Rhinolophus ferrumequinum: one gene and its partner. The protein of the gene in region 2 purifies or fractionates together with the protein of the main gene of each other region. This does not show direct contact. Links are inferred from orthologs where the notes say so. Each region holds a gene or a part of one and is shown on either strand. Other genes may lie near its edges. The genes, in order: MAVS and NLRX1.

Evidence for each region.
Region 1: the proteins of NLRX1 (region 2) and MAVS purify together in Homo sapiens (affinity purification with western blotting; 4 studies listed by BioGRID and IntAct, with this or other methods). This does not show direct contact. The link is inferred for Rhinolophus ferrumequinum from reciprocal best matches to the Homo sapiens genes NLRX1 and MAVS.

What each region holds. Positions count from the first base shown.
Region 1 is NC_046306.1:25,766,681-25,783,030, reverse strand, and holds the start of MAVS (mitochondrial antiviral-signaling protein), read right to left. Parts: upstream 8,414-16,350; 5' UTR 8,315-8,413; intron 6,287-8,314; exon of another isoform or gene 6,040-6,286; intron 5,122-6,039; 5' UTR 5,055-5,121; coding exon 4,938-5,054; intron 3,412-4,937; coding exon 3,237-3,411; intron 2,053-3,236; coding exon 1,880-2,052; intron 1,173-1,879; coding exon 1,016-1,172; intron 1-1,015.
Region 2 is NC_046294.1:88,411,993-88,428,459, reverse strand, and holds the start of NLRX1 (NLR family member X1), read right to left. Parts: upstream 7,525-16,467; 5' UTR 7,385-7,524; coding exon 7,064-7,384; intron 5,338-7,063; exon of another isoform or gene 5,283-5,337; coding exon of another isoform or gene 5,213-5,282; intron 5,164-5,212; coding exon 5,121-5,163; intron 4,659-5,120; coding exon 4,589-4,658; intron 4,126-4,588; coding exon 4,037-4,125; intron 3,486-4,036; coding exon 2,866-3,485; intron 2,465-2,865; coding exon 1,643-2,464; intron 1-1,642. Other genes in the region: ABCG4 (ATP-binding cassette sub-family G member 4), read right to left, coding at 12,532-12,619, 12,781-12,981, 13,134-13,252, 13,405-13,563, 14,700-14,800, 14,897-15,065, 15,301-15,399, 16,246-16,388.

The DNA of each region.
Region 1 (16,350 bases), on a different chromosome or scaffold from region 2:
GAGGTGACAGGAGAGGAGAGCACGAAGATGGTCTTTAACTGCTCATGTGCCTTGTGGCTGTGCCAGGGGCACTGAGGGCTGGCGGGGCACCAGCGTCATGTAGAACACAGTTTGGGAAATACTGGTACAGAGAGATGCCAGCCTAGGGAGTCACAGTAGACAACTCTATATTCCTGAGGGGGAGTGTCGAGGTCTGGTGTGGGGTTCCAGGCCCTTGGCTGATGAAGACCATACTTCCTCTGGGGGCTGAGCAGTTTTAGTGCTTTCCTGGCGGCCAGCAACCCCTTTAGGGTAGAACAGCGCCTAAGGGCTCCCCTGCCAGCAGCAGGCCCAGCCCTGCACTCTCCCTTCTTCACTGTCCGCCAGGTGCTGGTAGATCTCTACAGACTCACCCTGGTAGAGCACAGCAGTGGCCCAATTCTCTTCTTCTACCTGTATCCACGGCCTCTGCAATGTTACTTTGTCAGCTCTCTCACTGAGGGATGGAATCTGTTTCCCTCCTCCTTGACTCTGGGCTGGCTTTGTGCCTTGCTTTGGCCCACAGAGTAAGGCAGGAGGAACACTCACTCCACCTATGCCCTAGGAACCTTCCCTTCCTCAGAACTCTGCTCAGCTGCCAAGAAACGGGTTTGTCTGCTGGAGGATGACAGACTCATGGAAGAGAACTAAGGTGCCCAACCAATAGCCATCAGCAAAGCTTATAGGTACAGTAGTGTACACAAGAGGGATTTCAGCCAAGATCTGAAGAAGTATCCAGCGGAACCAGCCCAAATTACTGACCCACAGAATCATGAGCCAAATTAATAATCATAGTTTAAGCTACTAAATTTTGGGGGACGTTTGTTAACACAGCAAATACTAACCGATACACTTTTTAAGGAATTGGGCTGCTCTATGGGCTGAACTCCCTTTATTCCCACCCTTGCCTCCTGTTCAAGGAAGCCAGAGGGGCAACTCTAGTCCTCACCCTCACTGAGAGGTCAGAGAGGCCCTATAACTCCAGATTCACACATACCTGCTGTGTGGGTACTGCCCAGTTCTGTGTCCTGCTCCGAAGGCCCACTGGAGGTCAGAGGACTGAGGGCTGCCATGTCAGAGGAGGGCTCCACGGGGCCACCGGGCCTGCTCAGTATAGCCCCAGAGCTGGATGTCTGTGGGGCCTTCTTTGAGCTCTGCAAGAGGGAAAATGTGGATAAGGCAGATGCTTCTCCCAGGAGCTGGCAAAGGGCAGCTTATACTTGTGGGGCAGCTTCTGTAGGCCTGAGCCGACACCGTGGAGCACAGGAAACAAGGACGCCCTTGCCTTGGCTTTGGTCATTGTCATATCCTCTGACTACAGGTGACTTTGAACCTACCTCATAGAAAACACGCACACCATCCCCTGGAGAGTCCCTAACCATCTGTCTGGCCCTATAGAAAGGTGCCCTTCTCTAAGGTCATTGCACAGACCCCTTTCTTGGGCTTCAAGTCCATGGTTTGGAGTCTCCGCACAATCACTGCCAACTCATCATATCCCACCACTAGAATCAGTCATCTTTCCCCCAAACTTCACTTTCCTGGCAATAAATACAGCTCCACCACCCACCCGCAAGCCCATCACCTCCTGCTCCATCACCCCCCCCATCTGGTCAACATCTCACATGCACCATTGCAAAGACCTCAAGCTGTGACCTCACAGCTGGTTGACAAGAGGGCTGGGGCTGCCACAGGGGGCAGCTCTGATCAACAGACTGAGAAAGAGCCTCACTGGGGGAGCCCTGGGGTTCTGAGCAGAGATTAGGTACGATTTGTCGGGGGCAGGAAGGGGCTTCTGGACGATTCGGTGAGCAGAAGTGGGCAGACAGCAACAGAGAATACAGGGTCGATTATGAGGACGCACCTCCCCCAGGGACTCTGGTGACTGGGTGTCTTGAACAGGCATGGGGTAACTTGGATCCTCGTCTCTGTCGCTGTTGTTGGAGGCACTGGGGGCCACAGCAGGTGTGGAGCGCCCTGGAACCTCAGCAGGAACTGACGGTGACTCCAGTGGGGCAGGAGGGCATTTCTGGTTCACTGGAAAACAAAGATATAGTGAAGCCAAGGAGGAATCAGGGGGGTTCCCAGTGATAAGAGAGGCCTCGGTGCTCTTGTACCCCCAGGGCCATGGCTATTGGCCCCCCACAGCTCCAAAAGCTGTCCTGATATGAGATGTACTCCTCAGAGGAGACAAGCTTCACTGAGGGAAGGACAAAAAGAGGAAGGCAGAGCGAAGGGGGAGGGGTGCCTCACTGGCCTCTCACCATCCAGACTAGCTCAGCAGTCACCACTTCTGTCCCTGGGTGTTCTGAGACCCAGTGGCTTTCTCCTCCTCCTTGTGAGTGTCTGTCACCACTAACTGACCCCTGACCTGATCCTGCCACCTCAGCCCTTCTCCTTTGCCCCCACCACAGCCGTTTGTATTCAGGGGATCACTGTTAATCTCCAAGTGAAGAGACAAGTTTGGAAAGAAGGGAGGGAGGGAGGGAAGGAAGGAAGGTAGAGATAAAAGAAGACAAGCAGGGAATGTTCTAAGGCTGTATCTCTAGGCAGGGCCTCAGGAGTTGTCTCTATTCTGAAATATAAATAAAGCTGGTTTGAGTTTTCTTCCTGTCTCAGCCCCTCAGACCTTGACCTCACAAAATCCCCCTCTGGGCACTTGGCCTGGCAGGGAGCATTGAGGGAAGCTGAGGGGTAACTGGGGAGCTGGGGTGGAGAACCTAGAAGGCTTTAAGGAAAACCAGGGGAGTGGAAGAGACAAAGGGAAAGGAAGGAAGAAACCCATGGGAATGAAAAAGGAGACAGTGAAGGGAGAGAAAAAGGAGAGAGCAGTGGAGAGAGAAAAGGTGAACTGAGGAGGAAGTGAGAAAAGGAATGGGAGGCAAACGTCACAGACACAGAAATGAGAGGAGGCTCCATTTGCTGAGTACTTGACATGCCAGCGTCCCGTGGTATCCACCGCAGCCCTGTGAGGTAGATGTTGCCATGAGCCCTGTTTTGCAGAGAAGACTGAGGCTCAGGGAAATTAAGGGACCTGGCAAAGGGACACAGCTATTAAGTAGCTACGCTGGGATGTATAGTCAGGTTTGTCTACTGCCCAGGAGTGATGGGAGGGAGGGTGACAGAGGAAGGGAGGAGATACAAGGGCAAGGGGACAAGGAGAGGGGAGGCTAGGGGAACAGACAAGGGTTCCAAGAGGAGGGCCAGGGCAGGAGGCTTACAGGGCAGGTTGCTCTGGTAGACATGGGCCACTTCGTCAGCGAGACCAACCAGCTCACAAGCCTTCAGTCCCCGGATGAGGTATTCCACCCAGCCAGTCCGGCGCTGAAGGCTGTTGAAGAGTTCCCAGATGGTGTTCTGGTTCCCTCTGCGGTCGTAGCAGGCCCGCAGTAGGTCCTGGAAGACACAGCCCATCTCCTTGCTCAAGCCAGGTGGCCCTGGCCCCTTCCCCACTCAGGAGGGGCACCAAGAGGAGGCAGCCGCCTGAAACTGGGTCAGAGCCCAGGACAAGGCTAGGGTTTGAATCCAAGTTTAAAGGCAGCTAGCTATCAGGAAAGAGGCTCTTACTGTGTCCCAGGCTCTCTTGCTCAGGGTTTTGTGTGAATTATCTTATTTAATGCAACTATTACTCCTACTCTGCTGATGGGGAAACTGCGGCTTCGCAGAAGTAAGGCAGCAAAGATCCTACAGCAGTGGGGCAGGAATCCGAACCCAGTTAGTCTGATGCCAAAGCCTAGGGTTTGCCCCCAAGGCGAAAGAAAGGGTTTGGATTGGCAAAAGAGAAAAAGGTATGTAGGAAACAGTAGATGAGGGAGATATAAAAGAAAAGAGAGGGGGTCAACTATAAGAAACAGGGAGCGGGGTGGCCGGTTAGCTCAGTTGGTTAGAGCGCTGTGCTCTTAACAACAAGGTTGCCTGTTCGATCCCCACATGGGCCACTGTGAGCTGCGCCCTCCACAACTAGATTGAAACAACTACTTGACTTGGAGCTCATGGGTCCTGGAAAAACACACTTAAAATAAATAAAGGTTAAAAAAAAAAAAAAGAAAGAAAGAAAGAAACAGGGAGGATGAGGGACTGGGGAGATTCTGAGACAATGAAATAGTTGCAGAGCTTTTAAATCTACCTGAATCCCTGCATACAAACAAGCAACCAGATAGCAGAAACAAAACCCACAGAAAATACAGAGGGTGCCAAAAAAACGTATACACATTTTAAGAAAGGAAAAAAACTGTATTAAAATTCTAATACTCAATATATACTGATAACAAAAGATGAATACAAGTCATGTGTGTAATCTTTTCGGCACTCCCGGTATTTACTGAAGAACAAGGTGTTGAGGTATCCCTATAAACCCCAAAATATAAGGGGAAGGGGCCAAACCCCATCAGCCACAGACCCACATGCTACCAGCATATGTGGGGAGGAAGCAGAGAACAGAGGGGTTCAATCTGCGAACAGCAAAAACTGGGAAGGGTCTGGCTGGCTTCACGAGGTGCCCACAGCAAGTTCTGAGGCGGCTTGGGGTGGTCTGGCACCCATACACTCTCAAAACTGAGCCCTGGGATCCCTACCAGGACAGGGTCTCACAACAAGGAGAATGAAATAAAAACTGAGTCGGAACAAGGACAAGAGAGATGAAGAAAAAGAAGGTGCCAATAGAAGTGGGTGAGGGGCCCGGAGCCTGGAAACCTCAGGCAGCCAGCGCCATATTGTTGAGCATTACATCAAAACGACACCAGAGGGAGCTCAGGAAAGTTGGATAGGCTACCCTGAACCATAATTCTGAAAGTGAGAGAAGCCACCAGGGCAGGAAGTGGGATACAGACAAGATGGAAGGAAGGAGTCGGCTCTGGCTTCGGTGAAGCTCTGAATTCCACAGCCCTGCCCCCAGTCTGGCTACCTGACATGCCCTGGCTCACCTGGTCACTTGGTGTGAGGCAAGACAGGTGAGGCAGAATCTCCAGAACATGAATACGGTCAAAATTTCGGTAATGATAGCGGATATACTGGAAAGTCTTGTCCTCGGCAAACGTCATCACTGTTCAGGCTCTGTAGTGACCGAGGGCTCTGGCCCATGGATGGACTGAGACAGAGGATAAATGACTGGAAGAAAACAGATCACACATGGCAACCGGGTTGGGAGTGGGGTTGGGCAAAAGGCAGTTCTTTCTGGTCTCTGGAATTTTGGCTTTTCTCTTTAATCAACGTAGTTCATGGTTGCCTGAGTCCCAGAGGCCCTCGAGGAATTTGCTTAAAAACAAATTGATGACCGAAAAAAAAGAAAAATCAGACCCAGAAGTCTTAGGGCCCATTTCTGCCCTGCAAGTTGTTCAGTATTGGGGGGGGTCTGGCTTCCCACCATTGTCCTCAGACCTGTATGTGCCCCTAGCCACTCACAGCAAGAAGACTCCACTTAGAAGTGCTGCTTCTTTGAGGTACACTAGGAAAAAAAAGAAGCCCAACATAATAACAGGATCCATCCTACTTTAATGGTGAAGGAAATGAAGTATTAAGAAATAAAGGGGGCTTGCTTGTTAGTGCAAGAGCAAAGAACTGAGGTCTTCAGGATTCAGGATCAGATTCTTTCCAGAACACGACTGCAGGGCCACCATGAAAGCAGTTTGCTACATACACGTTCTTAGGGTAGGAGGCTGAGTTCCACTGTCCTGAACTCACTATTGACCTGGGGCAAGTTACCCGTCTTTTCCAGGCTTGTCCTCACCCCTACAATGGGTCAGGGAGCTTGTTTTGACAATACAGTAGTTCGGCCTGATGAGCTTGAAATTTATAAGCGCCTCAAATACAAGCAAGTACCGCCAGTTGCTTATGGAGCACTTACAATTTGCAAGTACATGCATTTGTTTGTGTGTTGTTTATTTGCCTCCCCTCTGGGGAGAGCTGCAGGGAATAAGAGAAATGAGATTTCTGCCATCATCCAGTTTATATTCTACTGGGGTGGGACAGATAACAAATCAGTAAACACATACATAAATAAGAATCCCAGAGAGTAATAAACATTACCAAGAAAACAAAGCGGGGTAACGAAACAGAAGCCCTGGAGAAGGGCGTGCTGCTTGCACTGGGATGGTCAGGGAAGACTTCCTGAATTGGCTGCATTTGAGTTGTGCCGTTCGTTCGGTGTTTCAGGCAGAGGCACTAGTGAGAAGTCCTAAAGTGGAAACCAGCTCAGCGTGTCTGAAGAATAGAAAGCAGGTCTCAGCGCGTCTGAAGAATAGAAAGCAGGTCGCTGTGGTCCAGGTTTAGAAAGCTAGGGGGAGGGGTGGAGATCAAGAAAGTTGGGAGGAGCTGTTACAAAGAGTGTTACAGGAAAGGGTGTTGGGTTTCATTTGGAGGGTTCTGAACAGGGAGGGGAGGGAGAGGATCTATGTTAAAGACCTCTCTGGTGATTGTGAGGACCTTGGACTATGGAGACGCCAGGATAGAAACAAGGAAACAAGTCAGGAGGCCACAGCAGGGCACAGACAAATGTACGGCTGGGGTGGTAACCAGTGGTGGAGAGAGAGAGGTGGTTGGATTCCTGGTGTTTTGTGGGTTTGGGAGGTGAGGAAAGGAGAAAAATCAAGGATGACTCTTTGGGCGCTGGGTGGATGGATGGTGCTATTTAGCCAGTCAGAGAATCCAGGGGAGGAGCAGAGGTGCACAGGGAACTCCAGAGCTCCATTTTGAATAAGTGAAGCTTGAAATGCTATTGAATGTCCAAGTGGGTTTTCAGGGAGGGAAGGGGGCACAGAGAGGGCCAGGCTAGAGTAGAAACGAGGGGTCAGGCTTGAGTGAGACCTCTAGGAGACAGCGCTGCAGAATGCCCAAAAGCTGCTGAGGCCGCCAGTCTCTTGCCAAATGGGAAACCGGGCAGCAGTCCTGTCTCCTGGCTTCACAGCTTCAAGTTGCATGACTTGCTTTGCCAACCACCAGATGCTACATTCCTACTGGGACAAGTGCTAATGATAGAGGTCAAGAGGATTAGGGAGGGAGGGCCGGGGTTCCTGGGAGATTTCAGGAGATGAGCAAAGAATAACTGTGGTAGCTAAAGACCCTTTTCTCCTTCCCTCCCATGGCATCCAGGGAGGCATCAGGAGAGAGTCAGGTGATAACATTTTTCTGCATCCCAGCCTCAGCCCTTAAGGCACAGAGTTTGGGGGGCAATGGGTTATGATATGATCCCACCAAAAAGAAAAGAAGCCCATAGTTGTTCACATTTATTGAGGATCCACTATAGGCAGAAACTTATTAAATAAGTTTCTCTCATTTAATCCTTGCCACAAATTCATGAGAGAAGTGATGCCAAGGTGCACAGCTGACCAGTGGCCCTGACAGGATTTGAACCCAGGACTTGATGTCTCACTGCAGCTCACCATACACTTTGCAGGTCATAGAAGCCCCTGCAGCAAGTGAAACTCAAACAACCCCTGCCTTCAAGTTCAGGAAAGGGCCAAGGTCACCATCTGAGTGAGGGGGGTCACTGGGTGAGGGTGCACCTGGGAGGATGCAACATTTAGTCCTGAACCGAACCGTGCCCTCCACAGCAGCGCGGTTCTCAGGTCGCTGACTCTCCTTCCAGATGTTTTTGAGGCTCCACAGCATCTATACGGGGAATGTCGTTTGGGATTTTGGGGTTTGTTGTTGTTTTTTTCAATGTTTTCCTGGCACCTCTTTCCGATCTCAGAGATGGGCAGCGAAGGTTCCGGATCCACTCGGCGAGGAGTTTCCGACCCGACTGTCCCAGGGGTCTGAGTGCTCTTGATGAATATCCACCCACGCGGGAAAGGCGAGGCCTCACAGCCCCATAGACCGAGGTCCACGGAGGACAGGGAGGCTGTTCTTCTGAGCAGGTGTCACCACCGAAAACTGTCAAAACCTAGGGGAGGGCGGTAACCTCCACCCCGAGGCACGGCCAAGGCCACAGGAGGTTGGCGCACTAGAGCTAGGCCTTGCCCGGGGGTCACCCTGGGCCTGAGCAGGGCAGCGGGAGGGCCTCAGCGGCCGGCGCCCGTTTCCTTCCTTTCCAACCTTCCCCCGCAGCCCAAGCAGACGCTCCTTGCCCCCCACTTCCCGACCCCCTGGGTGCCCTCGCTGTCCCAAACTCCAAGTGCCTTAGGACTCTCTCTTCCCGAGCCCCGCGCACCCTGTCCCCTCCCCGGCCTCCCGCGCGCCCCGGACCTCCTGAACTCTGGCGGATTCCAAGTCCCATTTGGCTCCTGACGCCGCGGGCCACCTCCCCGAAAGGCGTCTGTACGCCCTGAGCCCAGAGGACCAGGCGCGTGGGCTGCGATCTTACCTCGGGTAGCCACGACGCGGCGACCTGCGGACAGCCCCGACTGCCACCGGCCGCCAGAACCCTCCCCCGCCAGGGCGGGGCCATTGGTCGCACGGCGGGGGCCGGGCTTCGCGGTCCGCGCAGGCCGCTGGGAGACTGCGGGTGGCACTAGGCCTAGATTTAGAGGCCAGGACGCTCCGGGCGGACCTACGTTCCTGCAGGGGAGCAAAGGAGCAAATTATTGTCTTTCCCTGTTCGTCTCAGGCAGCTTTCAGGGGAAGTCCAGGGTCTAGTTAAAAACCAAGTGGGCTCCAGACCTCCGAGTCTGTGCCCTGTTGAGTTCCCAAACTTTCTACACAAAGCAATCCCTCCTCCTGCCCAGTGATTTTAGGGGGGAGAGGCTTTATGTGGTTTGCTCTTGGAAGCCCAGGGTCTAGCACACAGTACTCAACAAACGTGCCCAGCCAGGTGAGTGCCCAGCCAGATGAGTGCCCAGCCAGGCGACGCGCGTGCTGGGCCTGAGAAAGCAGGATCCGAGTGCAGGGCGTAGGTACCAAGGCTGCTTACCTGGCTCCCTCAGTGTGGGCCATGAGTGCTGTGTGAGAAAGGCCTCTCCACCCAAAGGTAAGGGGCGGGTGACTTCCCGCAGTGCTTGCCAGCCGCCTGTCCTTCCTCTGATGGGGCACAGGACACTCACAGGGGCAGAAGCTGGCAATTACTGAGGGCCCCCTGTGTTCCAGGTACAGGCTTCAAGTTCCTATCTTAGGGCTCTTTAAATGCTCTCATAATAATGAGATAGAAGTTTATTTTTTCTGTTTTAAAGAGAGACTTAAAGCTTTGGGGAAAGGTTTGGCTATTCTTACTAAAGTTTAAACATGCCAGCCGTCTCACTCAGCAACCACTCCTACCTATACATCCACCTAGAAACACTCACAATAGATAATGTTCATAGTAACTTTATTCACAATAGGCACACTCTGGAAACAACCCAAGGGTCCATCAGCAGGAGAATGGAGAGACAAACTCTGGTGTGCTCACACCATGGAATAATATACAACAGTAAAAAAGAATAAGCTATTGATACACACAACTTGCCTGAATCTCACCAGTATGAATGGGCACCATGGCTAACCAAGCCAAGCACAGAAAGTTCATGCTGTCTGTTCCAAGTCACAAGGTAAGGGTTGAAAACAGGCAAAACTCATCTACATAAATAGAAATCATTATCACTAGCTACCTCTAGGGATGTTGAGGGGTGGGGTACAAGGGAGCCTTCCGGTGGGATGGAAATATCCTGTGTCTTGATATGAGTGTTGGGTACATGGGCTTGTGCATACGTAAAAATGCATCAGCTGTACACTTAAGATTGTTACTGCAACTTTAAAAGGAAAGACATCTGAGAGGTTAAGAGGTTTGGCCTAGATCACATGCAAATGCCTGAATACATGCCTGTCTCCAAAGCCAGAGCTCCCAAACTGAATTGTAGGAGGGATGCTTTTTCAGATGATAATTGATTACTTGGAAACCTTGTGGATATTTCACAACATTCAGTATTTACAAAATGTTAATATTACACCTGAACTCAACTAACTGTAATAAAGCCACATCTGCCTTGTTTAGCCAAGACAGCGTTAACATTAATTGGTTCAAGAATTACTCCTGCCTGCTACCCACCCCAAATCCAGTGACCTCATATCTGATTCTTGCAGGAAGAGTGTTGGAAGTGCAGTGAATTGCTTCTAAATGTAGTTGCCACCCTGTTTTTGTTGGACTTCATAGGGCATTAAAAAAAAAAAATACAGCTTCCTCAAAAACACAATGAGATACTGTCTTAGTCCATTTGAGCTGCTATAACAAAAATCCATAGACTGGGTGGCTTAATCAACAAACATTTATTTCTGAGTTCTGGAAAGTTGGGAAGTCCAAGATCAAGATGCTGACGGATTTGGTGTCTGATAAGGGCCCACTTTCTGGTTCATAGACATAATCCTCACATGGCAGAAGAAGCAAGGTAGCTCTCTGGGGTCTTTAGAAGAGCACTAATTCCACTGATAAAGGCTTCACCCTTATGACCTAATCACCTCCCAAAGACCCCCACCTCTAAATACCACTACGTTGGGGATTAGGTTTCAATATATGAATTGTGGGGTTCGGGGGACAAAAACATTCAGTCTATAGGTATCAACCATTGGGGTGGCTATTATTAAAACAACCAGAAAATAACAAGTGTTTGGCAAGGATGTGGAGAAATTGGAACCCTTGTACATTGCTGGTGGGAATGCAAAATGGTGAGACTGCTGTGGAAAACAATATGGTGGTTCCTTAAAAAATTAGAACTAGAACTACATCCGATCCAGCAATTCCACTCCTGGATACATACCCAAAGAACTGAAAGCAGAGACTGGAACAGATATTTGTACATTCATGTGCATAGTAGCATATTCACAACAGTCAAAAGGTAGAAGCAACCCAAATGTCTATCAATGAATGAAAGGATAAACAAAATATGCTATATACATACAATGGAATATCATTCAGCCCTTAAAAGGGAAGGAAATTCAAACACATGCTATAACACGGATGAACTTTGAAGACATTATGCTAAGTGAAATAAGCCAGTCACAAAAGGAAAAATACTAAATGATTCTACTTACGAGTATATGAGGTACCTAGAGTAGTCAAATTCATAAAGATAGAAAGTAGAATGGTGGTTGCAATGGAGAATAGAGAATTGGTATCGAACGGGTAGAGTTTCAGTTGAGGACAATGAAAAAGTTCTGTGGATGGACGGTGGTAATGAATGCACAACAAATGTACTTAATGCCACAGAACTGTACACTTGAAATGGTTAAAATTGTAAATTTTATGTATATTTTGCCACAATAAAAATTCTGACCTACTTGGTTTCCTGTCACCTTTATCAGGAAACCAAAGGAGGGCACAACCTCACATCTATGGTATACCTGCTAAAACTCATAGTCAAGAGGAAACATCAAACAAACTCAAAATGAGGGGCATTCAACAGCTGTCCTGTCCAATGCAGCAGCCATCTACCACATGTGACTATTATTTTAATTAAGTAGAATATAAGATTCAGTTCTTCAACCCCACTAGCCACATTTTAAATGTCATTTTTCATGTAGCTACTGGCTATCATATTGGACAGCACAGATGCAGAGCATTTCTATCATGGCAGAAAGTTCTTTTGGAGAGCTTTTTTTTAAAAAAAAAAGTTGTATTGGCCTTTCAAGCTTGGCATTTGGGTGGTGGGTCCCCCTGGCATGTTCAACATGAGTATGGAGACATGTTATTTCTGGTAGGGACCCATATATCCCGGCCACTGCCTGATGTTTGTCCACAAGGATTGCAAGGTGTTCAGATTCTGTAAATCCAAGTGTCATAAAAACTTTAAAAAGAAGCACAATCTGGGCTGGCCCGGTGGCTCAGGCAGTTGGAGCTCCATGCGTCTAACTCTGAAGTCTGCCAGTTCAATTCCCACATGGGCCAGTGGGCTCTCAACCACAAGGTTGCCAGTTCAACTCCTGCAAGGGATAGTGGGCTGCGCCCCCTGCAACTAGCAACAGCAACTGGACCTGGAGCTGAGCTGCACCCTCCCCAACTAAGACTGAAAGGACAACAATTTGAAGCTGAACGACACCCTCCACAACTAAGATTGAAAGGACAATAACTTGACTTGGAAAAAAAGTCCTGGAAGTACACACTGTTCCCCAATAAAGTCCTGTTCCCCTTCCCCAATAAAATCTTTAAAAAAGAAGAAGAAGAAGAAGAAGCACAATCCTCACACGTTCAGGTGGACTAAAGCATTCTGTAAAGCAGAAATGAACCTGTCAAGTACCAGCGAAAGTTGTGGAATAAAACTATTGATACAATGAAGAGCGCAAACAGAAATGCCAAGTGAAATTTGTAATGAACAGGTTGAAGAAAAATAAAGAACTACAGAAAGTTCAGGACATTAAAGAAGTCAAGCAAAACATTCATCTCATTCGGCCCCTTTTGCATGCCAAGGAAAGCATCTGGAAAACAAAATGGTACAGAAATTACAACAGGATGTGACATGAAAGTTGTTTCTGAAAATCTTAACTGTCTGTAACCATTCCTATGAGTGCATTGGAAAACCTCCGTTAGAGACTTAGAACATCTAAATTAGTTTTTTTACATAAGGTGACTCAAATGAAAAAGTGATTAAAAATACATCTCTTCTACATTGCTATCTGAAAAACATCAGATATTATGGATGCTAGATTGCATCTCAATGTTAAATCTTCACTGATAGATGTGTACTTACATAAATCATGAAAATTTTGTGAACACAGAAGTGAATCGTGGACATAAAATGGTCATGCCACTTGGATAATGGCACATTTATGTAATAACTAATGACAAAAATTCATGACTAGTGATATATAAAATTTTCTTTGCAGTAAAATAAAAAAAGTTGTATTGGATAGCGCTGATCTATAATGTCAAGGCCATAAAAGACAAGGAAAGACTGAGGAGCTATCCTAGATTAAAGGAGAATAAAAAGGTATAACAATTGAAAGCAGTGTGGGATCCTGTGTTGGACTCTGAAACAGAAGAAGACATCAGTGGGACAAATGAGCCTTACTAAGGCTTTTGGATTAGTTAATAATATTCTATCAGTATTAATTTTCTGGGATTGCATCCCACCCTATTTCATGAGTAGAATTCACTGATCATTGTCCATTTATTAATGGAAGGGCGAGTCTGGAGAGCAATCTATATGCCAGGCCACCTGCACCCCCGGGTGAGGGCTTTGGAGACCGCCTCCCTGGTAAAGTTCATCCCCAGGTGGCCAGTGTCTCCAGGCCAGTGCTCAAAGAGGGCTGTGGCTCATGTGGTTCACATGTGATGACTCAGCAATCGCCAGCTCACATTTCCCTCCAGAGAGCAAAGTCAGACTCAAAGATAGTGCCTGAGGGCCCCACGAAGGGATATGTTCTCATATCTGACTCCCTTCAGACCTCTCCAAGCCTGAAAAACAAAATATAAACCCTGCCTTTACAACCTCATTGCAAATAAGTTTTTAAACTGTTATTCTTTAAACTATTTTATATTTTCATACTGTCAGTTTTATTACAAAAAAAATATGCTCAATAAAGCTGGGGGAAATTAATATATGCTTATATAGTTAATATGGGGGGAATAAACATGTTTAATAAAGAAAATAAAAATCCGTACTCATAATGCCACCATCCAAGAGAAACTGCTGGTGACACTCTGGTGTCTTTTCTCCAGTATTTTCTTTTCTATAAAGCAAGGCCTCTGAGTCCTCTGGCTTCTCAGAGTTCCCCTTGCCTTGACCAGACACATGAGATGATTCAAGCCATGATATGGGACATAACGGAGTCTGGTATGAGCCCTTACTTCTCAGGGGTCTCAGAACGAGGGGACTTGGACCATGTCAGATGGTGGGTCAGTCCCTGCTGCATCCGGTTCCCCAGGGCTGTCCAGCCCCTGTGGTCAGCATGGACTCCTCATCAGCCTCAGGGCATTGTGTTGCTGGTCACCTGCCATTCAGGGGCTGCCATCCTGCTATTCCTGCCTGAGAACCACTGACATGAGTTACTTGGCAATAGACATTGAAATGGGGGGTTGGCAGGAAACAGGGAAATGAGCACATGGTCAGCGTTTACCTTCAAAGTAAGGTATCAGAGTTCCTAAAATTCACAGACCTCCCCCAACGCAGGAGACTTTTCCCTGGCCACCTCACTCCACGGCCCCAGCTTCCTACCATACTGCTGGTGCCCCTCTTGGTGTCTCTTGCTGTGGGGCCCCTCCCCTAGTATCTGGAGCTCGGTGCAAAAAAACAGAAACCACTGTAGGTATTTTGTGCATGGAAGAGTTTTGTTTCTTGAAGCATAATTTACATACCATAAAACACATCAATCTTAAGTGTGCAATTTGATTAATTTTTATCCAAGTAAATACCTGTGTAACTAGATCAAGATCTGGATTGTTTTCCGTCTCCCCAGAAAGTTCCCTTGTAATCTTTCTTTATCAATCTCCATCCCCAATCATTATTCTGATTTCATCAACATAGTTTAGTTTTACCTGTTTTTGAATTTAAGACAAATGGAATCGGATAATACATACTGTCTTCTCTCTAGTATCTTTCCTTCTTTACCCACTTCAGCTTTCTTTAATAGAGAATCAGAAGAAAGTATATGACCTTCCTATAAAACCAAATAAACATGAGCTCAAACAGATCAGGAAAAAAGACAAAGCAAAACAAAATATTTTACTCAGTTTTTGTTATTGTTGCAATTATTCAGTTATTTTATTTATGTTACAGAAATCTGTGAGGAGGGTGAAAAACTTTAGTCAAAAAGGGGTAAGAAGTCTATATGAAACTCATCTGTTTTTTATTCCCCCTTTCTTCCACCACTCTCCACCCCCCACTCCGGTTCAAGCAGTCGTTTCTCAGTCTAGTTGTGTAGGACGTAGCTCCCTGGCCCATGCTGGTATGAGCCTTGCGCTCCTCGCCGACAGAGGCAGTCGGTTTCCAGTCATGGGTCGGCCGCTCACAGCAGCTCACGGCAGCTCTCGCTGGCTGGCTGGCTGCCTGCCGCTCACGATGGCTGCCGGCCACCCATGGAAGCACACAGCAGGCCCCACAGCAGCACACGGCAGCTCAAGCTAACCTCCGGGTGCTCAGGGCAGCCCAGCTCCAAGCAGTCCAGCTCCAGGGAGAGCTGTTGTTCACAATCTTAGCTGTAGAGGGCGCAGCTCACTGACCCATGTGAGAATCGAACCTGCGACCTCCGTGTTAGGATTTCGGTGTTCCAACAACCTGAGCCACCAGGCAGGCCTGAAACTCATCTATTTTTATACCATTTAAATCTTTAAGATTATTAAGACTATTGCCAGAGGTCTTAATAATTAAAACTCTTTAAAAAGTCAATTATTAAGAATGTAAGCATCTCACAAGATGTTTCTTCTACTGTCACACTACACTGTTGCTGAAGCCAAGGGTAGAGTTTTTTCTATACCAACGCATTCTATTTAAATCACATTTCTGAATCCACTTGAGAATAAAACTACTGTTCAAGGCATTTTCCAGACTCCACCTCTTCCAGAAGGTGATGTAGAGCCACATTGCAAGGGTGTGAATAAAAGGGTGGGATGAAAAGTCAGGGCAATCTATCACACTAGCCCATAGCACCCACCATACCTCCCACTCCCAGAACCATCCAGCAAATCCCAAGCACCCTATTACTTTTTTGTGCAAAGCAACAAGAGTTTCTGTGTCTTACCTTTTCTGTTCCTTCATTTTGTCCTGTTTCCTGGGTTCCTTATTTTCCAAATCTTCTAATTCATTTCTAATGTAAGCAATATTTTTATTTTCTGAGAATTTGTTCTTGTTCTGTTGTTCCTCTCTTTGCTTTATGGATGTGATACCGTCCTGAATCTAATTACTGAGAATAGTAATTAAGAGAGCCTTTTTAAAAATAATTCTCTTGAGGCAAGCTCTGTACAACAGGGTTGCCAATTCGATTCTCACATGGGCCAGTGAGCTGCGCCCTCCACAACTAGACTGAAGACAATGAGCTGCCGCTGAGCTTCTAGAAGGGTGGCCAATGGCTCAGTTGGTTAGAGCGTGAGCTCTCAACAACAACAAGGTTGCCGGTTCAATTCCCACATGAGATGGTGGGCTGCGCCCCTTGCAACTAAGAATTGAAACGGCTACTGGACTTAGAGCTGAGCTGTGCCCTCCACAACTAGATTGAAGGACAATGATTTGGAGCTGATGGGCCCTGAAGAAGCACACTGTTCCCCAAAATTCCCCAATAAAAATTTAAAAAAAAAAGAATTTTCTTATGTCCCCTGCATGGTTTTCCTCTGAAACCATTGTTTGCTGTTTGCTTATTTAGTTTCTCTTTTTGTGTGGCAGGCTTCCTCCAAATGTCTGGTGAACTTTGTTCACGTTAAGAATGAGGCAATAAAAAGCACTGGGGAAGTTTTGTGCACATTTCTGGCTTGTGGCTTGCTTTTGGGGGGACCAGGTGGGTACCTGC
Region 2 (16,467 bases):
AGAAAGCCACTGAAAGCAGCCTGGGTGTGCCCGAAAGTTGGGCGGGGCCAGGTTTCAAATCCCCTTGGCAGGGCATGAATGGTGGAGACTCAAAAATGGCGGCCGCCCGTGTTGGCATGCTGGGAAGAGGGAGGGCTCAACAATGAAACAATGGCTTCCACCAGTTCCTCCGTCCAGGAGAAAGCCACCTCTCCAGCCCCTATGCCAAGCCAGACAATTCAATTCCCCACCATCTGTCCCTGCCACCTTTCCAGCTGTTGCCCCAGCGCTGGAGCTCAGAGCACATGATTCCATTGGTGGGTAAGTCCGTGCGCAGTCCCTTAAGAGGAGCACCTGAGAGTGCAGCGCACTCAAGTCACAATGTCCACTGGTTTTCACAACCAAAATTTATGGGGACTTCTCTCCCCAGCACTGGAACCCTGGGCTGGGATCTCTCGCTCCTCTAGGGGGTGAGGGTGGGACCCCTATAGCTGAAATAGCCCTCCCGATCTTTAAAGGTCCCACGTGAGTGTGGGGCCAGTCCATTCTGCGTCTCTGACCTTCCTACCAGTCTGGAGGTGGCTTCTTCTGCATGTCCTTAGTTGAAAGGCTTCAGTTCAACTTGATTTTAGGCGATTCTCAATAATGGTTGTTATGTACATTAGCTGTAATTTTGGTGTGGTTGTGAGAGAAGGTAAACACAACGCTTACCTACTGCGCCATCTGGGTTGTCTCCCCTGAATCCCTGTTCTTAACCCTTATGCTTTGCTGCCTATAAAAAGGAAAACTTGTTGAAATTTTGTCAGCACTGACCAGGGCTCTGCCTTCTCGAGACCAGTTACTAAAATATTCCTACAGAGGACAAGGATTACCTAGCAAGTCACCACAGCTTAACAGAAAATCCACAAAGTAGCAGTAAACCAGGATTCAGCATCATGAAACCTGGACTCAGATCCCAGCTATTCTATGAACTATCTAAGTGACCTTAGAAAAGTTCCTTAGCCTCTGTGCGCCTCAGCTCCCTCATCTATAAAAGGGATCGTTACGGTATTTCATTTACGAGGCCCCAAGCAGACATCAGCAGAGAGTGGATCCTTCTTCCCCAAAAAAACAGCACATCCGGCCTGCTCACAGCACAGTTCTCAAGTCTGTAATTTGGTTTCTGGAGTGGACCTGCACCCTGGACAGACTGTCCTAAGCCAATTACCAATGCATTTATCGTCTTGGTATAAATCAATAAAATGGCATCTGCTTTATAAACCTGTCTCTCGTGATTTAGTTAAGATGAGTCATCACTCCTGGAGTCTAATCACTTCTGGGGGAACAGATACAATTGAGAGTCAGGACCTGCAAAGCAGAAGACAGACCCTGCACTATAGTGACTCCTGCCTCTTAGCAACAAACTAGGAGGAGAGATGCAAAAGGAAATCATCTCAGGGTTGTAGGATTATTATTAAAGTCCCTGCACCCTCAAATTCCCTTCCCAAGCCTCCAAGCCTTCCCTAGCCTTGTGGCTTCTCTCTCCCCCTTCCTTATGCCCCAATCCTATTAAAAGCCAAATTGTCCAAATCTGAAACCAGAGCCAAGAAGAAGTAGCAGTTTCCTACTGGGAGAGGAGCAAGGGGATTAGGGAGCTGACAGCCTAGGGTCCTGGGGATGTTACCTTAAGCAAGTTGAAGAGCAGAGGCAGAGCCCGCAGGGGCAGCAGCTTGGCTACGATGCCCAAGACCAGGCTGACGTCCTCCCCAACACGGCCCACGAGCTCAGCCACTTCCTTGCCCACCCGCTGCAGAGTTGTCTTACGCAAACCTAGAACAATGTAGAGGGCAGCAAGGTATTCCTGCATGGCAGGCACAGTAAACACGAAGGTGCCCAGGTGCCCTGGCTCCACACATGGGGCCAGAAAAAATCTCAGGGCATCCCGGCGGAAGACATGCAGCAGCTGAAACTCCTCTTCTGTCCTGATGCCAGCTTCCAGGCAGCCATGGACATCCTCTTCAGAGAAGTAGGTCTTGCGTGAAGACACCCCCTCATAGGCCAACTTGCCCATGGTTCGGGCTGCATAGGCCATCAGGGACAACTTAGAGGGGTCAGTGCTGTCCAGCATCTCCCCATTGAAGTTTAGACGCAGGAAGCTGGTATAGATGCTTGTGAGGGTCTGTCCGACTGGCGTGGGGGCATGCAGGAAGTGCAAGGTGGCACAGACAAGCCAGCAATAGGAGGGCAGGAAGCAGGCAGCAGCGATCTGGTGGTGCCCTTCCAGGTTCCTAGAGAGCATCTCTACCAGGTTGTCACGCTGAGCTGGTGTGGCGGAGACACCCACACCCCCAGCACTGTGCCCACAGTCTGGCTGGTTGAGGCGTAGCTGGAAATAGAGCTTCTGCAGGTTGGTATCAGAGAAGCCACAGATCTCGCCATAGCGGCCCACATATTTGCTGGGGATGCGGCCAATGGCAGAGGGACGGGTGGTCACCAGAATGCTGGCCTGGGAAGAGCATGGTTGAGGGTTAAGAAAGACCATGATATCCTGATTGCCTTACTCCCCACGGAACACCTGAAGATTGAGTGTCCAAGGAGGAAGGTGATGATAAACCATAATAATTACAATTAACAACTACTGAGCGCCTACTATGAGCCAAGGCAATGTGCCAAGCATTTTATAGGCAGTTATCTCACTTCATCAGCACAATTCAAGGATAGAAGGAAACAGAAGTTTGGGGAAGTTAGTGACTTGCTCAAAGACACACATCTAGAAGCGGAGGGGCCAGAGTTTGAACTAGCCCAGGGCCTATATTCCTACCCAATAAACATGCACGCTCAGGACACAAAAATCCGTAGATGGCAAATCAGGGCAGAGGTGGCACAGTGGGGCAGGGGGCTACCTACCTCAGGCAGCATGTATTTGCGCAGCAGATTGACTATGATGGCAGCTGGTGCCTCTGGCTTCTCAGGATCACTGCAAAGCCCTGTGCCTGCCAGCCGGAAGTCAAGGTTGAGATGCTCTAAGCCATGGAGCACAAAGAGTAGGCGAGACCCAGTGGTGGCCATCAAGGGCAGAATCTCCTTCAGGGGTGTGTAGCGCTGGGCCACAAGTTGGCACAAGCTGGCTGGGGTAGGACCCAGGGATGACAGGTCCTCACAGGAGAAGGGGATGAGCAGCTCAAAGGCTGGCAGCCGCCCATAACACCAGTCCAAGACCATCTTGCGCACCAATGTGCTCTTGCCTGTGCCCACTGTCCCATACAGAACCACTGTCTGCACCCGGTGCCCACAGGCATCTGGGTCAAAGAGTTGAGACAGGGCGAGTGTGGGGAGCCTGGCCGGGGGCAGCTGATGCTCCAGAGCCAGCTCTGAAGGTGGGCGAAGCAGCTCATCGGGGGTGCTCTCGCGAATCACAGGATCCACATGGATGGTGTCTAGTGCAAAGGTCGGGCCAAATTGGCGCTCTTCCCTGGGTAGCCGGCTGAACCACTCGGCCAGGTTCCGGCGGTGCCGCTGGATGGCTTCTGGATGGGAAGGCAAAGGGAATGGGCCAGAGAAAGGGGCCAGGAGATATAGGAGCTTAGAGCCAGTCAGGGTGGTAGGAGGGTCAGGCTGCAGAGTTAAGACAGCACCAGAAGATGCTGGGGCCCAGAATGGAGCTGGGCACACCAGTCTCCCTCAGAAAATACAATGTCCAGAAAGTCTGGAACACCTGAGGCAGAAAGTGGGGAGCCACAGGATGAGTGATGCTGAACCTGGGCTGACTGGTTTCACAGATGTATCTGTGTGCAATCTTCACCTGACTTCTAGACCCAGTTTGTTGAAGGTAGGGATGGCACATTCCTCGCAGGGCTTTGGACATAGCGTGCACTGCATGAGTGGTGCAGGAAGGGATACATGGACAGATGGATGATAGGGAAAGGGAAGGTGGGCCCATTAATAGATGATGACAGTGGGTCCTCTGTGCCTCCTCCTTCCTGCCCGCTTCTCCCTCCAGGCCCCTCTCCCCACCACACCCCTCACTGGATCCCAGCCAGCCCCTCTTCTCAGACAACTGAGGAACCAATCTCTTTACCAGCTGCAGAGGTGCTCCGGAATAACTGCTCATGCCTCCCTGATGGGGGACCACTGCCCACTGAGCTTCCACGGTGGCGTATAAGGACCCTGGGAGCAAGGAGAAGACATGAGCTGGGGCTTGGCTCCTGGGCTCAGCCTCTGCACAGGCTCAGAGTCCAGGCCTGTCTGGATTGATGGACTTCTGGCTTCCTGAGATCCAGACCCAACCCTGGACACCCAAGTCAAGACTGTCTGTCTCTCACACTCCTCCCAGGGACCGAGGTCTCCCCTCTAGCCCGCCAGTCCCCCACCATTGCCTGTCTGGAACTCAGGCTGGTCACTGCCAGACTCCACCCACTTTCCACAGACCCTCCCACTGGCTAACCACTGTGACGTGTACTGTAGATGATGTAAGCCAACTTCCTCTTAAGCCTGGTAGCTGACTCTATACCCTCCCCACCTCTAGAAGACCAACCTCTCCCCAGGAGATCAAGCTCTCTCTAAGTCCTGACTCTTCCCAGGCTATTCTGCTATGCCCAGATGGGTCTAAGGTATGACACCAAAGCCTCACCTATGGGGACCAAAGGTACAATCCCCTTTAAGGGCCCAAGTCCAGTGGATCAGGAAGGGGATATGTTCATCTACAGAGAAAGGAGAGGAAGAAATAGCATCGCGATCCCAACCAGATTTCCCCACCAATACCTAGACCCCATGTCTACATCGAATTCCCCATTATTTGCTCTCATGGCATCATGTATCACCCCTTTGTAGCAGTTATTATGCAATTTTATATCTTATTGTGTGATTATCTGATTAACATTCATTTCCTGCCCATCATGCGAGCAGGATCACATCTGTTTTTGTTCACCGTGCTATACTTACAACTTAGCACGGGTCTAGCACATAGCAGGCACTCAAAAAATATTTGTTGAGTGCAAGATGAAATCAGACAAATATTCCTGGACTTACATAGCTACAGGGACTCTCAAGAGATCATCTAGCCTGACTCCCTTATTTTGAGATGGGAAAAAGGAAGCTCAGGGAGCTGAGGTAACCTGCCCAAGGCCAACAACTCGTGAATCACAGAGTTGAGACTAGCACACCTGGTGGCTGGATCCCTGCCCTGTTGGAGGCACCATCTGGGCTCTAAAGAGGAAGGGAGAGGGAGAAACAGAAACCCCTGCTTCCTGCTTACCTGCTGGCTGGAGTGCTCTTCCCAGACCAGGGCCCCATAAGGTCCTGGGCAAAGGGCGGCTCCACCTCATTGTAGGGAGGAGGTCAGACCCCAGGGGACCTGGCACACTACCACGTGTCCTATTCCCCTGCAAGAAAATTGGTGTGAATGGACCACACCCTCCCAGCGTCCCACCCTCACCTCCCGGGGCAGGCCAAGGAAGGGTCTTTCTCCTCAGGAGAGCATCAGACTTTCCTTAAATGTCAACAGTGCCAACGCCCCGGCCTGGCCTTCAGATGTCCTCCTTCTCCCATATCCCCCACCTGAGGGATCCCATTTTACCTCCTACCACCTATTGCCTTTCCCTTGAGGCTTTAAGAAGGCCTTTCTCCTGAGTTCCAGCCTAGTGAACTGCTTTATTTTAGTGTCCTCTTTTTTTTTTTTGCTTGGCTGCCAGCAAGCTCAGATGAGTCCTATGTTCATTTTCAGTGGCTTTTCTGAGCCAACATTTTCCAGTAACAATTATCCACTCCCTTCTGCATATTTTCCCCTAGCTATCAGTTCCTTTTAGCTGAGTTTTAACAGTTTTTATAATTTTATCTTCTATGTAAAAGCTGCCTCTGAGGCTGGCATAAATAATAAATGAATGAACTTCCTACTTGATATCTCCATATGAATATCCTGCCCATGCTTCAAGCTTCACACATACAAAACTGAACTCATCATTCCTTTCCCCTTTTAGGTACTTCCCTGCAAATCTTCCAAATCACATGTTTAGAAATCTGACCTCTGTCTTCAATTCTTCCTCCCTCCTTCACAGTTGAAACAGGCTGATTCCTCCTCCCAGGGCGTTGCCTGCCTGTTCCTACTGCAGCGTCCCGTCTGTCCCTGTGCTAACTCAGATCCTCTGCAGACTTCCAGAGACCCCCTTCTCCTTATTGGCCTCTGTCTTTGGTCTCATCCCATTCCAAGCCTTCATCCCAGCCACCAATCACCCCCCTAAAATCCTAGGTTACATGTAGTAGAGTCCAAACAGCTGGCTCACACAAACTATTATTTCTGAGTTTGTCCTGACCCACATCTCATTCGCCAGATTCACTGAATTCTTGCTTGTGCTTTCCTAACTTTGTTCATATGCTTTCTTCAGATTGGAATGACCATTCTCCCGTCAGAATCCTACCCAATCCTTTAAGACATGCTCAAAGGCCCTCTCTCCTGGGAAGTCTTTCCTGATCCCTCTGAGCTCCCTTAAATGGAGGCTGCTGCTATTTGGCACATAGTCTCTAGAAATTTGGGTGCTTAGGGGCCGGGCACACTTAGGGAGAACTGGCTGCGCTGGGCCCATCTGCCACCAGGGCTAACCAGTGGATGGGGCCATCTGGGACTCAGAGCAGGAGTCCTAGGGACTGGAGAAGGATTAAAGAGAGGGCCATGGAAAGCTGAGAAAGGTTGGGGAAATTCGCTCGGTGTGATGAAATCAGATCCAGAGCCACTGGCTCAAGATGGGACTCTCGGAGGGGTGGAGTGGTGGTGAAGACAAATTCTCACCCCAGGTCTCCAGGGCAGTGAGAAAAGGAGACACAGCAGGAAACGTACAGGGGCTGTGCTCCCACTTGTCCAGCGCTCCTCCCCCCAAACTGCGTCCCAAACTGCTCTCCTAGCTCCACTGTGCTTCAGACCCTGAGGGGAGAGCCTGCCAGAAAGACCACCACTCAGCGGACCAGCTGCGTCCTACTCGTCCCAGGCCGCGAACTCCCAGCAGCACTTGCGCAGCACCCCGCACCCCCCACCCCCCACCATCCGCCCTGCCCCGTCCCCACTCTGCCAGGCCCGGCGGGGGACAAGGGGAGACCCAGCTGGCTAGGCCTTTACCCGCGGCTGCCCAAGCCCTGGAGTCCCTCGCCCGCCGGCGTCTCCCGCTTGTTCCCAGAGGCTCCGGCGCGGCGCTTCTTGCCTGGCCGCCCTCGCATCCGACCCCGGCAGCAGGCACCGGAAAGGACGAGCCCAGGCGCTCGGGGTCCTAGGAGAAAGGGAAGAGCAACAGGGCCCGGGGGCCGGGTAGAGCAGGCTTGGGGTGGGGACTTCTTCCCCATCCGCTCCTGCATTGCTCCCGCCCCCCGCGCGTACAGCCTCCAGTCGGCCGGGCCCCGCCTCTAAGACTGCCCTCTGCAGGTTATCAAACGCCAGTCCCATCCAGTTACCTCGCTGACCACCTCCTGAACGGGGCTTGTCGTTATGCCCATTTTACAGATGGAGGAACTGCAGCTTGGAAAGGTGAAATGACCCTCGCAGGTTGATGCAGTGAGGAAGCGGAAGTACCAGAACAGGAATCCTGGGCCTGGGTCTTCCTACCTCACCCTGGGCCCCCTTGAGGCACCCACCGTCCCTCAGGTATTCATTCTTCTCTCTGCTTGCTTCTTCAACTCTGCAGCCTACCTCCTGACAGAGATCTGAGTCAAGGCCTTCTTGGGTCCTTCCTTCTGTACCTGGCTCTTTCCATACCCCAGACCTCTGTGTACTGCTTCTGGTCACTTTGGCCACGGAAAGAGGAAGGATGGGGGCTGAGAAACAGCTCCCACCCCAACCTGCTCTTCTTGTCTGACACCCAATTATGGCCTAGCCCTGGGGCTTCCTGGTCCTCAAAGCTCCCACTCACATCCCTCTGCTTCCATGCAGGGCACACCCACAGCCAATGTAGCCGCTGGAGAAGCCACCCACATCCACAGCCAGGGCATGCCCCTACATGCAAACATAGGTGTGCAATGTGCACTGACTGAGCAGAGGTGTGCAGTAGGGAATGCATAGAGTTCCTCGGGGCAGCGCTGGGAAGAGGGCTGTGTGATCTCTACCCTCCATTCAGACTGAAGACAGTATTGGTATTTCACTGATACATTTGTTCATTCACTGATCACGTGGTATTGGATAGTATCGAGCAAACAGAACAAGGCATTCAGGGACCTGGCTATATCAGCTCTCCTCCAGGGGTCCCAAATGATGGTACTTCAGAGGCAGACAGAAGGCTTAGGAAAGGCTGGGGGAGGAAGTTACTAACTGCCTCTGGCAGAGGAGGTGACATTTGAAATGGGTTTTAAGAAATAAGTCAGGGAAGAGAAAGGCATTCCAGGCAGCAGAGAAAATGGCAAATTTGCATTTTAAGAGACATTCTGAAAAGGGAGTACAAAGGGATGGTAGGAGAAAAATAGAGCAACCCTATGAATGTGGTCTCAGGGGTGACATTTTAGGCTTGGGGTGACTCCTATAGCTTCACCCCACTTACCTAGTCATGCAAGGCAGCTGCGGTTACCGGACACAGCTCAGAGCAAGGTTCCCCTCTCCCACCCACCCCCAACCCCAGCAGGTATGATAGTCATGTAAGCTTTATTAATAACATATAATTTGGCTAGCCTCTTGCAGACTGAAGTACTGTCAGTCATGCTGTGGGCATGTACTCTGTCGTTTGTCCTCAGGATCGGGTGCCAGGTGCTGTAGAGTCATCGCATGGAGAACAGTCTTGGTCACTCTGCCCTCCAACACCTTGCACAGGCCCTGATACAGAGATGGTTCTGTTGGAAAAGATGATCTGCGTCCAGGAAGGTCAGCACTCAGGCCAAGTAGGCCCATTTCAAAACCTGCTTGGATGGGTGGGGGCATTTATACCCCACTCTGCAGGTTGGTGGGACTGGTGGGAGAAATCACAGGTGCTTCACAGTGCCAAGAGCACCATATCTTGAGAGCTTGTTCAAGTCAACTTATCCAAGCTTTGGTTTCCTTCTCTGTAAAAGGAGGAAATGATAATACTCATCCTGCAGCCTCATGGGGTTGCTCTAAGAATAAAAAGAGCTCTCTTGGAAAATATGTGAGCCACTCTACAAATGTTCTCTGTGCCTGAATGGCCCTTGCTAGTTCCAGATTGGATGGTCATCTCCTTAGCTGCCAAGGGAACTTACAAATGTGTGAATTTATAAATTCTCAGTCTTTCAGGATAGTGTTGGCATTTTAAAAGGGAAAGAGTAAAGATGAAGAATCTTAAGAAAGACCATCTAATGGTGGGATTTTGTGCCACCATTAGGAGCCACATACTGGTATCCCTGCAGGCAGAAGGTGGCACCCAGAATGCCCCCTAAAACTAGCTAGAATTCCAGGAGCTGGACTTCTTTCTACTTCTCACTCCTATCCCCAACCACCATTAGAAACAAAGTTAGTCCATCTCCAGACAAGCACCCAATCAGTCATAGATTGGACCCTAATCTAGTCCAGGGCACTTAGCTCTGCATGTGGCACAACTGGAGTGTTCCAGGCAGCTGGCAAGGTTGATGCCAATCCCTTCCTTCAGTCTCCAAGTTTCAGGATCAGAAGGGAAAAAGGTGAGACAGTGTGCTGCTTCTTGCATCATCCTGCCACCAGCCCTCAAGGACTTCTGGATAATTGCCTACTCTAAACTTTAGGGCACCAGACCCATCTGTAGTCCTGGTGGCCAATGGCTTGGCCCTGGTAATCGTGGCCCTGGTAGGAAAGAAGAGAGGAAGAAAAGGGGAAAGCTAGGGTGAGCTAAGGAGGCCCCTGCCACTCTCATCCTAGGACTTAGGTTGCAGGGTTTTTCCTACTTCTCATTGCCCTTCATGACTAACCCCACACCCTACACCCCTGCCCCATAGGCACAACCTTTCGCCACGCAGCAGCCTAACCATTTGTTTCCTTGTACTTGCCCCCAAAGAAAGGAGAGTCTGTGAGACAGATCCTTTCAGGGACTTTGCTAAACCTTTGTGTTTGCACCTCATGTCTCCGTTTGGCCCCAAAAAGATGGCTGGTCAGCCAATGACGAGCAAGATTCCCCAATGGTGGGGGACAACTAAAGCCAGGCACAGTCGAGTGGGGACCAACAGGAGAACCCACAGGTTCATAGAGGTGGGCACAGCCCCCACCTTCCCCAGGCTAAGAAAAGCCTCAGCCTCTGTGGCTGCATTCCTTCCCACAACCTGCAGGGGAAGACATTCAATGGTGTGCTCTCCATCTATTCACACGCATATAGGCTTTGTCCCTTGGGGAAGTTGAGACTTAAGGCCCAGCTGCCTGCAGGCAAGGGTGCTTGGCTTGAATCAGTTTCCTATTATGGTGTATGGAATTCACAGATCTTGAGATTGACACCTTTATTTCCTTAACTTCCCCACCTAACTAATAAAAGCGGATGCGAGGCCCGATTAGGTGCCACAGCCCAGACCAAGAGGCTGCTGGTCCTTTGGCCTCCACTTGCACTCTATTCATGGCTACTGTCTTTTCTTAACCCTGCGCCGCCCTCCTCGCTCCCCACAACCCTCGTCGTGCTGGATGCGAAACAACCAGGGCTTAATGAATTCTGAGGAGAAAGTCATGTAACACTCAGGTAAGAACACACCCATGAACAGACACAGGACACACACATACACACAGCTTGCAGATCCACCAGGAACGGTGTCAGTGGCTGATGTCAAGAATGAAGAGTCTGGGGTGGCCGGTTTAGCTCAGTTGGTTAGAGGGCGGTGCTCTTAACAACAAGGTTGCCAGTTTGATCCCCTCATGGGCCACTGTGAGCTGCGCCCTCCACAACTAGATTGAAACAACTACATGACTTGGAGCTGATGGGTCCTGGAAAACCACACCTAAAATAAATAAAAGTTTTAAAAAAAAGAATGAAGACTTCTGCCTCCAGACTCTTCAGCTTGGTTTCACCTCCATTAGCTAAGGATGCTTGGACAAGTGACTCAACCCAAGTCTCAGTTCTCTCATCTGCAAAATGGGTTGTCATGAGGGATAATGCAGGGGTGGCATGACACTCCCCTTAGTTAATAAACATGAAGCATTTATAAGATGTAAAGCATGATACATAATTGCACTAGCTTGACATATTCATAGGACTTACCCTCCCCTGCCACAGGCTCCCTAAAGCTCACAGACTTCTTGCCAAGTGTATTGAAGAGCCCCTCACAGCCCATGGGACCAGGTGCCAGACCCACATACATTTACACACTTCATACTGTATAAATATAGGTTTTATTAATAATGAGTGAAATCCCACAAATACAACTGGCATTCAGTGTGATGGGAAGACTCTGTGTCGGAGAGGGAAGGTATAGAGGTATGTGCCCAGGAATAAGGTGGAAAAGAGCCCCGGGGGAAGGAGAAATCAGAGGTTGAATGGACGTGTACCAACCAGGAAAGCCAGACATGCCCCAGGTGTGTTTGTCACCATGGTGCCCAGGGTATGCTGCCCAGGGCGTGCCCAGGGGCCATCTTGGCTGATGGGAAGGGGATAGAGAGACATGGGCAGGAGTTTAAATGAGTAGCAAGTGGCTGAGGAAGGGGTGGAGGAATGAGAATGCCAGCTTAACACACAAAAGAAGGGCCATGGGGTGGCAGTGGCCAAGGCCAACTTATGCCCATGCTTGTGCTTGTGTTAGGTCCTGAACTCCAGGGAGCTAGGACCCTGTGCCACCCCGGGTTTGGGAGAGAGCAAAAACGGGGGGGGGGGGGGAGTAGACACCTGCAGATCTGGAAGATGCCCTGGGCAGTACCACCTTAATCCTTACTGTCAAAGCGGGGACCCCCAGGAGGAGGTTAGCACTGCCCCCCTCCAGCACCCACCACCACTACCATCACTCTTCCTCTGAGCTACAGGGGACAGTGAGAGTGTGTAGGGCTGAGATTGCTTATTCTCATGTATGTGCCTGTAATCCCAGAGAGGGGAAGGAGCACTGCAGGACCGGACCATGCGGCAGGAGCAGCGAGAAAGGAGGCTTGGTTCTTCCCTCACTCACCCCCGAGAATAAAGTGCATTCTCTAATTCCAGTGGCAGGTGGGAAAGAAACACCGACATTATTGCAGAGGTGCCACCAGGCCCTACCCCCACCAAAAGGTGATGGGGAGGGAGAGGGGGCATCCCACAGCCCCAGGCCTCTCCAATCCCCAGAATTGGAAGGGATGACCCAGACAGAAAACCCAGCTTCTGTCCCAGCAGATTGGCCAAATCAGACAGGGTGTGGGGGTGGGGAGAAGGTGAGGAGGAGGGAGAGACTTCCAGAGTCCTCCCCTACTCCATTGCAATGTCCAAATGGGACTTTCAGGGGACCCCACCAGGGCCCAGCCCGGAAACCCCAACCTTGTAATAGCCCAATTTACAAACACTTGTGTGGTGGGAACTCCCAGAGGGGGCCACTTTGGTCAGTTGTATGTGGGGGCCTGGAGAGCCTGGGGCTCCTAGGCAGATAACGGAGGAGGTTGGCAGAGGGCAGGAAGGAGGGTGATAACCTCCTAGTGGTCTTTGCATGCAGATGTTGGAGAGAGAAGGGAGAAAGCCACAAACCACATCAACTTGGGAAGACTCCTGGGCACAGCACAGAGGGCTGGAGCCCCCACTCCCAGGGCCACGGCTGGGAGCGCAGTCTGACAGTCAGCCTGTGAAGGAGCCAAGAGAGGGGAGGGCGGCTGTACCAGCAACCAGTGCCCAAGTCGACAAGGTTAAAACAGTCCCAAAGGGCTGGGGCTGGGAGCTTCCTGCTGTGGGGGCTGGGGCACAGGCCAGGGTGAATCTCTATCTCTCTGATTTGACCCGGTACCGGAGCACAAGGTATGCCAACAGCCGCAGGGCCAGGAAGAAGATGCCCAAGACCAAGAAGTCCATGTAGAGCTTGGCACCCTCCACATCCAGCGCTCGGAGGATACTGTCTGGCTCCCGGAAAGGGCAGCGCTCCTCTAAGCAGGTCAATTGTCCTCTCTCCATGCCGTAGATGGTTAGAATCACACCCTCAAAGCCATACCTAGGCAAGCAGAAGCATCAGAACAGGATACAGAGCAGAGGGTCACTGCGCCCTGGGTAAACTGCTAGAACTCAGATGCAACTCTCTCATCCCTGGGGCATGGCCTGCTGCAGGGAGGAGCAGGGGCAGATGGCCAGGGAAGCTGCACTGACCTGACGTAGGAGAGGTAGGAGCTCCATTGCAGGTAAGTGGGGATGGTCTTGAAGCTGACAAAGAAACCGGAGAACAAGAGGACAGGGATGGCGGTAACTGGGCCCACAAATGTGGCCACCTGGAGGGGAAGGGAAGGGGTCCGGGCCATCACAGAGGTGACCAGGACAGACTCAGGACTGGGGCAGCCCCAGGGTTCCCACAGATCTCTTCCTCTCCTTCTGTCAGCCCTGCTTCCTCCCCTCTCGGAGGCCCCACCGCCAGCCGTCCCACCTGTAGGGAGTTGGAGGCAGCTCCAATCAGCAGCCCCAAAGACTGGGCCACCAAGGCAGTGGCGGTGGCCAGGGCTGAGAAGAGCAGGAAGCGGCTGGTCTCAGCTGGCTGGCCTGTCATCCAGTACACGATGCTGCAGTACACAACTGGGCACGCCACCTGGGGAGTGTCACAGGCCTGGGCAGTGGGCGACAAGCCAGAGGCACAACAACAAAGACCCCCACTGTGCCTGGACAGGAGCCTCTAGAGCAGCTACTCCTAGAGCGCCCGTGCCGAGGCCTGCCTCTACATTCTTGTTCATGCGGTCCTCCACCCCAGGTGCACGTGTCCCCTTCCTCACTGGCCATATGAACCTCATTCATCTTCCAGTCTCACCTCTCCATTAGGCCCACTCTGACCACCGCAAGCCTGGTGAATTCTCCATCCTCTGAGCTCCTAAAGCCCTTCCCATATGGACCAGCTTATTCCTTGTATTGTTAATTAATTAACTCTATATATGAGTTTTGTCCCCCTATGAGCTATCAACTCCAACTCCTGGAGGGCAGGGACCAAGCCTACTACGTTTGGCGTGCAGGTTGTTCCCTGCACAAGGATACCCAAGCAAGCGGCAGCCAGAGGCTGAGATCCAGCTGTGCTCTTCTCACTAAGTCATGCACCCTGGCACAGTGCAACGTCCACCCTGAGCAAGAAGCACCTTTTTCTAATTTGCACAAGGGCCCTAGTGCTTGGAACAGGGTGGTAGTGGCAATAAGAACAACCCAAAACAGCTAACATTTATTGGGCACTTTAGTATGTGTCAAGCACCATTCTAAGTACTTTAAATGTATTAACTCATTTAGTTCTCACAAACATTCCGAAGGTAGATACTATCGTTGTTCCATTGTATAGATGAGGACACTGAAGCAAAGAGACATTAGGTGACTTGCCCAACATCTTGCAGCTAACAAGTAAGTAGCACTAAGATTCCAGAGCCTACACTATTCTCTACTGCTTCAAATAAGATTTACAGAGTCATTTGTAGGGTTATTATTTTCATCATTTTCTCTTTGTCCAATCAGTTGTTTCCACTAGAACATAAGTTTCATAAGGTCAAGACTATATCTGTTTTGTTCACTGCTGTGTCCCTAGTGCTTGGTACATAGCTTGGTGCATGGTAGGTACTCAGTACCTATTTGCTAAGTGAGTGGAAAGAAAGGAAAGAATGACTGGTGACAAGGCTGAGGGAGGCAAGCAAGAAAGGATGGAGGGAGCAAGACAGGAGGGAGGCAGTAGGCAGGTGCCAGGAAAAGGCTCACCTGGAAGGGCACATCGGCCATGGTCTTGGCCAGGTAATACGCTTTGAGGCTGTACCAGTAGTTGAGATGCTCCCTCATGAAGACAGCCATCTCTAAAGGGACTGAGGACACAGGCCAATTAGGCATACCTGGCTGACACCCTGGCTCCTACCCCGTGCCCCAGCATCCCGGTCCCTGCCCGGGGAAGCTCAGCTCACAGGTGAGCACAGTTGGCATAAGGGCAGCGAACATGAGGAACAGCATGGAGAAGAAGAGGCAGCCGGTGTTGTTGAAGACCTTGCTGGCATCGTCGCCGATGTGCAGGTAGAGGAGACCAATGAGCACACCAATCACCACGTGGGACACAAATCGCAGGTGGGTTAGGACCTGTGTGATGAGGTCATCACGCAGAGAGGGGACCGGTCACAGAAAAGAGATAGACAGACACACTGGGGCAGGGACCTGGAGCTGGCCTCACAGGCACATAGACCCATAGGTGCCCTGGGAGGGAGGGTGGGGGATTCCTGGGGGAGGGACCCCATCCCCATTCCTATCGCTGAGATCCTATGCCTCAAAAGGCTAGATCTATGCCAGCTCCCTCTTCCCCAACTTGATGCCTCACCGTGTCCCTGAGGATGGACAAGAAGGTCCTTTTGAAGAGGATGCAGAACTGTGTGAGGGTACTGGTGGCAAAGGTGTGGCTTTCAATGGGATCCACTTCCTGGGGAGAGGAAATTGGATCAGGTGAGCCTGCACACAGACCCACGCACTGCGCACCCATCCCACTGAGTGGGAAAACCCCTGAGCCCTTCCCCCCGGCTGGGGTCCTCAAGGTCTACTGAAGGAGAAGTCTCCACCATTGAGTTGTGTACCTGGAAGCTGGCCTTAAGGGTATGAATCAGAGCGAGATTCAGACAGACACAGAATGAGGGGTTAAAACTTGGGAAGGAGGAGACAGAGAGGGAGTCTGTCTAGGGTATCTAGGGGGGCTACTAGTAGATAAGTCACTTCTCTTCTTCTCTTTAATCCATCAAAAAACATTTATCCTAAGGGTATAATACCTTTATGCCACCAGTTTCATAATAGTATTATTTAACAATGAGAACAAAATAATGCTTCTGATTTGTAAGGGTTACAGTGTCTCATTTAAGGGAGAAAACTGGCACTGAACAAATGCTGGCTACAACGAGCTACAGTGCAAAGAGTTTTACCTGATGATCTTAGTCATCCCAATAACCCTGTGAGGTAAGTATCATCACCTCCAGGTTGGAGACGACAGTATGCTACACTGGCCATGAGGTCTTGCTTACCAGGTGGCACTGTGCTGGCACTGAGGACAACACACTACAGATACTCAGTAAGAATTTGCCGAAGGAATAAATGAAGGAGAAAGCAGAAGCTAAAAGAGGTTAAGTAAGGTGCCCAAAGTCACACAGCTGTTAATAGTAGGTCTATCCCAAGTCCTAGACTGTGATGACTCTGGGGGACAGCCTCTTTGGCAGGGCCATTGTCATGGTCCCCTCTCCCCTCACCCATTTTATACTCTGCCTTCCTCAGCCCTACTCACCGGAGGGCAAGGGGGGCAGGGGGCGGCAACCTCGTTCTTCTCAGGGCTGCTCTTCTTCTCAGCCATGGCACACAGCCCATTCTGCACAGCCCTGAACAGCATGGGGTTCAGGTCTCCATACTCGCCAGAGGCCACCTCAATGACTGGGGGACACAGAGGGGAGTGCTCAGCTCAGATCTATCCTTCATTCCCCAGGGCAAGCCATCCCCACCTTGGTTGTGT